Linked DNA regions of Nothobranchius furzeri. The protein of the gene in region 1 binds, or shares a complex with, the protein of each later gene. Links are inferred from orthologs where the notes say so. Each region holds a gene or a part of one and is shown in the gene's direction. Other genes may lie near its edges.

Evidence for each region.
Region 2: the proteins of pex5 (region 1) and pex14 are in contact, whole or in part, in an NMR structure (PDB 4BXU), measured with the Homo sapiens proteins. The link is inferred for Nothobranchius furzeri from reciprocal best matches to the Homo sapiens genes PEX5 and PEX14. Residues at the interface, in NP_001124497.1 of Homo sapiens: Glu59, Leu62, Val63, Glu65, Phe66, Leu67, Gln70; in NP_004556.1 of Homo sapiens: Thr31, Phe35, Asn38, Arg40, Val41, Ser44, Pro45, Thr48, Arg49, Phe52, Lys55, Lys56.

What each region holds. Positions count from the first base shown.
Region 1 is NC_091745.1:74,164,871-74,169,243, forward strand, and holds the start of pex5 (peroxisomal biogenesis factor 5), read left to right. Parts: upstream 1-1,423; 5' UTR 1,424-1,628; intron 1,629-3,143; 5' UTR 3,144-3,185; coding exon 3,186-3,299; intron 3,300-3,385; coding exon 3,386-3,424; intron 3,425-3,538; coding exon 3,539-3,656; intron 3,657-3,766; coding exon 3,767-3,913; intron 3,914-4,022; coding exon 4,023-4,107; intron 4,108-4,373.
Region 2 is NC_091755.1:29,721,885-29,726,184, reverse strand, and holds the start of pex14 (peroxisomal membrane protein PEX14), read left to right. Parts: upstream 1-1,290; 5' UTR 1,291-1,337; coding exon 1,338-1,385; intron 1,386-3,539; coding exon 3,540-3,587; intron 3,588-4,300. Other genes in the region: dffa (DNA fragmentation factor subunit alpha), read right to left, coding at 1-56, 584-677. UniProt on the Homo sapiens protein: Component of the PEX13-PEX14 docking complex, a translocon channel that specifically mediates the import of peroxisomal cargo proteins bound to PEX5 receptor.

The sequences.
Region 1 (4,373 bases):
TTGCGGTTCCTTCTGCCCGTCTCGCTACCATGGGGAGCAGAGCTTTCAGCCGCTCTGCTCCTCGACTCTGGAACTCACTTCCCCCAGACATCAGGAACGTTGACAGTTTTACCCTTTTCAAAACAAAACTCAAAACACACATGTTTAAATCTGCCTACAACCTCTGATTTTATTGAAATGTTTCTCTCTGTTTTTTCTTCTTTGGGTTTTATTATTGTTTTATTGTATTTTATTACGTGTTTTGTGTAAAGTGACCTTGGGTGTCCTGAAAGGTGCTTTTAAATAAAATGTATTATTATTATTATTATTACTCACACCTAAGAACAATTTAGACAGACCAATTAACCAAGAGAACCCATGTGTGCACAGGAAGAACACGCAAACTATTTGAGGCCAGGATGTGAACCCAAGACCTTGTAGCTGCAAGGCAATGGTGGTAGCCACTGCACCATTTGTCATTCTTACATATTGGACCTTTAATAATAATAATAATGGTGTTTTCATTCAAAAATCCACAGATATTTTGCATTTTTTAATAATATGAGCGTATTTTCCAGTTTAGTGCATGCTTCTGTTAGATTTAGGAGCTAGAATTTGTTAAATCAGGCTGTTGAACTGCAGGTTTCTTGTTTACAAAAGTATGAATGAGCAAAATTATTATTACCTAATGAGAACTTTGACGGTTGTTCTTTTTTGTATACAGAGCTCAGTATCTCTTTTATTTGTCCAGAACAACCAAAAATGTGAACTCATCTGACCACAGAACATATCCACTGTTTTTTTGTCCATCTGAGATGAGTTAGTGTCCCAAGACCTCATCATTGTTTCTACACAGTGTTGATTTATTGCTTCCTCTTTGCACAGCAATTTTACATTCCTGGATGTAGTCATGGCTTTTGTGCAGTGGTAATGGTTTTCCAAGGGGCCCCCAAGAACACTTGGCTGATCTGATCACTGTAACATGAAGAGTCTTCGTGCTCAAAAGCCTGAGGACTTGAAAACCGTAAATACCTGAATGATGGTTTGCAGGTTTGACCTTTATACTTTGAGACTTTCCCAAACTATCCTTTTCCCCAAATGTTGAAAGACTTGGGTTCTTTGGTCAGCTGCACTGAGGATCTTTATTTTTTTCCACCTGGATATTTCTGACTCCACCCAAGCTGCAAAGACAACCTGTGAGGCTTTTCTTTATATTGGCTGACTAATTAGTCAGTAAATTATTAGTTAAACTAAAAACACAAGATAGGTTTTCCTAAAATAAAAGACTCCACAGAAGGGAACATCTCTTGCTTTTGTTGGACTTTAGTCTCTTGCACATATTTTTACGTAAACGTACGTGCTCTTTTGCCTTTAGAAGCCCGACTTCCACGTTCGTAAATATTTGAAGAATACAACTACGTAGAGTACGTAGAATTACGAGCCTCTTGCAGCTCGGTGAAAGGTTTTGTGGGTCATGGAGGAGGAAGGTAAATAGAAAAGAGGCGCTACTACGAACACACAGCGGAGGCTGTGAGGCGGTGCTGGAGGATTTGTTCTGACCCAGCTTTAGCCCAGAAAGGATCCGGCGAGGACGGAAAACAGAGCGGCGCGGAGCGACTGTTCGGCTACAGCAGGAGGAGCTGTCGGCGGTGAGATGAACATCACGCTACCCCGTAAACACACTCCTCCTCCGGGTGGAGACCTGTGCACTGGCCCTGGGTTGCTAGCTTGCCAACTAACACTTAGCACATCTATTTTAAAAGCTAAATTGTTGCTAATTGTTTTCATCTTCTTTTTAATGTGCTGTTTATTGAGCCCACACGAGGCTACAAGAGATAACAAAGCTAATGTTGTTGCTGGGTCTTTAGCTAGTTAGCGCGTGGGCCATTAGATATCTGAACGCTGACTGACAGGTGTGCACAATTCAAAAACATCTTTTTTATGATTTCAGTTTTTTTCCACAAAAGTGGGCCATCTGTATTAAAACTACAGCATGTCTCTTGAGTAGATGTGTTGTGTACAAACATGTGTCACAGTGGCCTATCAGTGATAATGTCTGTATTAATATCTTTGTCTAAGCCTCTTACTTTGACCCTAATCATAATGCAGCAGCTGTGTGATTCAGTAGGAAAACTCACGTCCACATTCTGCATGAGAGCAGCGACTCCGTCCACCTGCATGGACGGGGTTGTGTAATGCTGTACTTGGTGGTTTAGATACAAAATAAGAGCTGAGTGGAATTAAAAATCTGTTCCACGCATTTCATTATGGAAATTGTTTCACATCCCTCCAGGGAGAGTTGGAGATTTTGAGTAGGCTAAATGTACCCTTTTGTCAGCTGTTCATTCTTGGGCATGGAGATCAGTGATCAGCAGTAGTTCTATTGTTTGTATATATGTTTAAATTGTGCTGTTACTCTTATTTTGGCAGATCAGGTGAGTGACACAAATGATTTACTTATACCAAATAATTCCTATAAAATAACTGTAATCTGTTATTTTTATTTTGCAAATATTGTTGCCCTTTCCTCTCATCGACAATGTTGCTGCTAAAATGAGCCGAACTTACTGGAAGCACGGAGCAGATGATATTTGTGTGCCTCCTAGGCCATTGCTTTCTCATTAGTAACGGTTCGAAAAAGCCAGGAAGTGATGTAAAAAATGACAGATGGGAGTTTAAACTCGTCGATGCAACGTGAAGCCACTTGTGCAGCTTCCAGGTTTCTCTTTTCTGACCCATTCACTGTAAAATCAAAGCAAAAATTATTTGAGTTGTCCTTCGGACGTTTAAAAACAAATCTGCAGTAAAAATAAACCTCCTTTTCATTGTGCTTTGTTCAGAACGTGTCTGTTAAGGTACCACTTGGGGATTTACTATGCGTAGGTACAGAAGCATCTGCAGTCCAGACAACCTAGCCAGCTGCTGTGGAAAATATGTTTTTGATTCACACTGGCCAATGATTTAGTTCAAGCTTGTTTAAAATATTTGAAAGAAATCTGCTTAAGCAGATAAGAGGACGAAAGCGTCACCAAGCATTTGTAACGGTGTTAGATCTCCTGTTATTATTAACCAGCTGTGCTGCACTAACAGCAATGGGGGTGTTACTGTTATATTGAGAAGGTTTAAAACAAACGCAGCAGTAGAAGATTTCCTTCTGTTCGTAGTCCTAGGTGGTGTGGTTGGCTTTGCCTCATCCTTGTGTTGCCATGGCGATGCGGGAGTTGGTGGAGGCGGAATGTGGGGGGGCCAATCCCCTCATGAAGTTGACCAGTCACATGACCAAAGAAGAAGGAGCATGGCGGCACCGCTTGACACCCACAGTGAGTTGTGTTTCTTTTTTTTTATTTTATTTTAATTTTTTTTTGTTTAGCTGCATCATTTATTTATTTATTTGAACTTTTTTCAGATTCCCCCCACACCCATTGAAATTGCAACAGAGGAAGAGGTCGGTGATGTTTTTCGTCAGGCATTAGAATATTATTCTTACCACGTTTCTGATTTCTGGATGTAATCTCTCAAATAGCCACTTTTAGCCTTTTTTTGTGTTTTTATGTTTTAGTTGGTAAATGAATTCCTTCAGGCGCCTCCGCGACCCCCACACACGTTTGACATGGGTCAGTTGTTGGAAGAAATGCAGCAAATTGATCAGCAGAGCTACAGACAAGCTCCACAGAGAGGTATTTCATGTGTATAATCTTTTATCTTATCTGCTTTATGTCCCAGTTTTAAGAAGTTCCCGTGTGTTAATAATGCAAAAACAGTTTTAAGAAGCATTTCCTGGTCTTAGCTCCAGATGTAGCAGCACTGGCCCTCTCGGGTGACTGGGCGGCCGAGTTCCTCTCGGGTCCCGACTCTGCTGCCACACAGGGGCTGAATGCTCTCGGCGAGGCGGCAGATGCTGATTGGACCAAAGAATTTATCGCTGAGGCTGCAGGTAATTTGAGTCTGTGTTTCACTCCGTGCACTCGTTCTCTCTGTTTTATAATGAGATCCGTGACAAATCTGTCTTTTTTTGCTCACTGTTTTTCCTTCTCCTGCTGCAGATCCTGGACGCTGGGCAGAAGAGTATCTGGAGCAGTCTGAGGAGAAACTGTGGCTGGGGGACCTTGGAGACAAGGAGACTGAATGGTGAGAGCAGAGCTTGAATCGCTTTATGAGTGTCGGTAAAGCCTGAGCGCAGGAAAGACACTTGTGGGGGAGTAAAAGCAGAGAGGAGCACGGGACAAAACAAAAGATGGCCGATCTGAATGCAGAACTAAACCTTGAGAATGTTGTTGACGTCGTGTTAAGCGGATGTGTCGGGATAGATTTTAATTTCTCCTTAACTTTTTCTCTCTTCTACTTTTTTTGTAATTATACTGAGCTTATTGTGAGAAAAGCTCTCACTGAAGCAT
Region 2 (4,300 bases), on another chromosome or scaffold:
ATGCTCTAGGACCACTGTGACTGGGTCACTGGGGCTGAACCCGAGAAACTCACATCCTGGAGGAAAAACACAAATACTTTTAAACTTGGAGATCTCTTTACTTTTATATAAAGATCCGACAAAAACCGGATGAACAATCATTTAGGTCAAAAGTCAAGTCACATCTTACATTTCATTTTTCTTTTTGAGTGGTTTGATATTTAAATATTTCATACATACAGCTTTAGCAGGTGTCGGCAAATATTTAATGATATGATAGAAAGAGGCTGCGTGTTTGCAGTGAAGGTGACTGTAATCCCAGGAATGTGCAAGCTCAGAAACGTGTGCAGCTGCAGGTTTGAACATGATGGAATCTGAACTGTTTCTGTACATAATCCGTTCATGATTATCAGAGGCATGCGGTAAAACCCACCAAGGTCTCACTTTTGGTTTACAGCAGTCGTGTTTCTTTCGTTTTCACTGTTTTGAGTTTGTAGTAGCAAGCTGAGCTCAGATGGGCAAAATGGGTCACCGAAACTAAACGAAAACATACAAAATCGGAGTTTTCTGTCAAAGAATATAAAGAAAAGCCATGTCAACACACCTTTTTTCTTTAGCTCATCCAACGAAGGAACAGCAACGCCATATGATGTCTGTCGTGTGAAATTGCACACTTTGCACGCTTTCCCATCTGTCATTATATTAATTTAACTACACTATCTTCAATTACTTTGAGAAGCCACGGTGCTAAAGCACTTCACTTTTCACTTCTTCTTGAACCGCCAGTGAAGCGCTATGCCTGCTGGGATATGTAGTTTTAATACCACAAGCGGATAAACGATAGATGCGCGTTCTGGTTTTTATTATTATTTAAGAGGGGGAACTACTGGCCACGTGTACAATTAAAATCAAATAAACCTGAAAAAGAATAATAAAAAAATTAATTAATGTGAAATGGCTGATGCTAAACTGTCTGCAAAAGCACGCATAGGGTATGCGTGTCTCAGATTTAGAAAATCAACTATTTGTGACTGACAATTGGGGATGCAGTTTCATTTCAAGAGCCCAAAATCATGGCCCCAAAAGTGGGAATCATAACAACCATTTTTATTTATTTATTTGTTTGTTTATGTATTTAGTTTGCACGGTAAATGTAATTGTATGTTCAATTTGTGTAAGACAGTCTATTTTTAAAAGTGCAGCACTAAAATAAAAAATCAAATGTTACCCAGCCAGCTGCTCCTTAACCGATTACTTTTTGTTGGTTTTGTTTACACAGAAAGTTGTCTCTGTGATCAATGATCAGTGTTTCAGGAAAAGCAATCGAACACGAGTCAGTCCTCCTGTACTGTAAATAAATGGACAGAAAGATGGCGTCCACCGAGCAACCTGATCCACCAACACAGGTCCTTCTGTACCTCTAAGACTTATTCGTGGCCAGATAAAGCTACTGACTGTGTGGCTGTATTTTTGTAGTCTGTTGCTTTTAAATGTCTACATTTCATGAATTTATTCAAGAATTGCTCAGCTAATAGATTGTAGCGTGCTTGCTAGTTAGCATGCTAACTATGTTAGGTTTAAAAAGTTGCATCTCTCGCACGTTTTTATCAAGAAGCGGACACCAAGGGGTATAGGGTTTGACTACACGTTTTTACAAACATTGTGGCGTGTTTAATTTGCAGATTAGTTATTTATCTTGATCAAATGTTGCGTAGTGTTTCCACTTGTCTCCTGTCATCTTGTCATGGCATGTTGACATGTGTAAAGGTCACTCTTTCGGGATGCATCTGTTTTTTGCAAACCCACTCTTGACTTGAATGGCCGGACAAACGACCATTACAATGTTTGGTATAGATGGAATCTTGCAGCTCATCTAATCAGACCACAATTCATTTGTCGTTACAGTTACAGGACTATTTGAGAAAGCAAATGTTACCCATGGCATATAAAACGGAGCATTGTGTTCTGTCTAAACTAGGTTAATAAGTAGAAAGTGACAGATGTCTTGGTGTGCGTTGGTCTCAGATTTCAAACTTATACGTCATATACAGTTAATGATGCAACATGAAATTATGTTGTTTATGCAGTTTTTGTATTGTTTACATTAAAATAATACATGTTTAATTTGCTCTGATTATTTTAATTAATTTGTAACCTAAAAACACCTAAAACATTCTTTCCAAACCGAAGGTTAATAGCTGTTTGGAGGGGTGCACCGGTCTATCGGCCCCGATCTCGGGTTTTCTTTTTCAAGATTGGTGATCGGCTAAAAACTGCAATCGGTGCACCCCTAGTTAATCCATCCGTCCATTTTTGTTACCCACTTATCCACACAGGGTCGTGGGGGACTGGTGCCCCTAGTTAATGTTAAAGCAAATAATTGCTATAGAATTTTTTTTAAAGTGTGTCAAAGCAGGTACAAAAGTTTTGTTTTCAAAGTTAGAAAAATGAAAGTCTAAAGGAACAAATATGATTTTGAAATTCAACAGCAATGCTAAATATGTTCATTTATATTTGAGAACATGACTTCATGTCCAGTTAAAACTGGTATTGTTTCACAAGTATTCATATTGATTTTGTCAATAAAAGGAAAATGAAGCATTGACATAATCTGCTTTTAGTTAAGACAAAATCAGTATTGGCAAAAAATCGGTATCGGTAAGTCAGGTTTTTTCAAGATTGGTAATCGGCCAAAAACTGCAATCGGTGCACCCCTAATTGTTTGGAAAGGACGTCACACATTATCTGTTCTGAAGTTTCTCATATGTCATCCCAAACTAGTCGATAAACATCTTGACATGAGATGTGCTGTAGTAATGTTTTATTTATTTTTTATTATGTCACCATCTGGGTAAGTTTATGTACTTAGCTCTGTTTTTATTTTAGTTATATTTTTTATGAAACTCATACTTTTTTAAAATGTTGTCTCACCAGTGGCTATCTTGCTTAAAAAATGCAACAAACATTTGATTTAGCCAGATGTGCTGTCCCTGATATCTGGTTGACTTGTTATATTTGCATTGTGAGCTTGGTTGCACACTGTTGTACACAAAGCTGTCTTTTAATGTAAATGTTACACTTGAAGTAAATTCCAGACCTATTAATAGCGCTTTCTAAGCAACTGAATGATATACTGCTTGAAACAATCATGTAGATTTTCCAGTATCATTAAAACTTCTGAAAAACAAATTTAGATGAAAAATGTTTCCATAACACCTTTTCCACTTTTGATGTAGCTGTCTTCAAAAAGACTTAAAATGATTAAAAATTGAATAGGATTTGTATCATATGCAAGATGAATCACATCTCATGTTTATGGGTTAATTCAATCAGAAAACAACTTAAAGAATTATTTTTACTGTAAATCCCAGTTTCCAAAACTTTTTTTAACTTTTTGCATTCAGCGTGATTTTTTTTTTGTGTGCAGTTACAGATTTTTCTAATTCTTCTGCTAAAGTGTTAGAATTTGTTGTAAGGGTAACTTGTAAACCAACACTACCTTTATCCTCCAACAGATGGCTCTATCACACTACTGATTTCTTATTATTTCATCTTTGCAGGCTGGCCTTCTGCCTTTAGAAGGAACCGCTCAACCCAGAGAGGCACTGGTAGGTGTCAGAATTTACTTCACATTTTAATTTAAAATGGGATGGATTTAAAAAGAAAACAGCAAATTAAATCAATGCAGTTTGAGTTTAGAATAAGCAGAATCAAACAACCTTCTCATTTAATGACATTTTTTGTGTTGACACTCTGATCCTTATAAAGGTTCAGATTTTGATGATTGATTAATGCAATTTTTGGTAATCTGAAAGTTTCTGTGGTCATATTTAATTTCACTGATTTGCTTGAATGTTTACTCGTAAAATCAGTGAAGCTTTACTCTTAAGTTATTTTGTTAACTGTGTGTTTTTATTTGGATAATTTGATTGTGTAACAATTCCTCCCAGGAGAACTATAAAAAGCTTCCAATTAACACTTTAGTATCACATTAATATCCCTGTGTTGTGATTGGAGCAGATCATGAACAACTTTGACTGAAAATTTTTGTTTTCTGATTAAATGGGTTATTTTTTCCCCTCAAATGTTGGTTAGTTTAATGACTTTGTTTGCAGATAGGACAGAATGGTTCTGAACAAATATCCTTAATAGATTGTTTCTTCTTAGAAAGAAGTCAAGTAGTACCGTAAACACTACGATGATGTCATCTAACAGCAATCGGCATCAGTTGCTGTTTGTACTACTTGTTTAAAAGGAAGTGTTTAGTTGTTGCTAAATGTGATGGAAACCATCCCAGGTACGTTCACTGTCCTTGTATGGG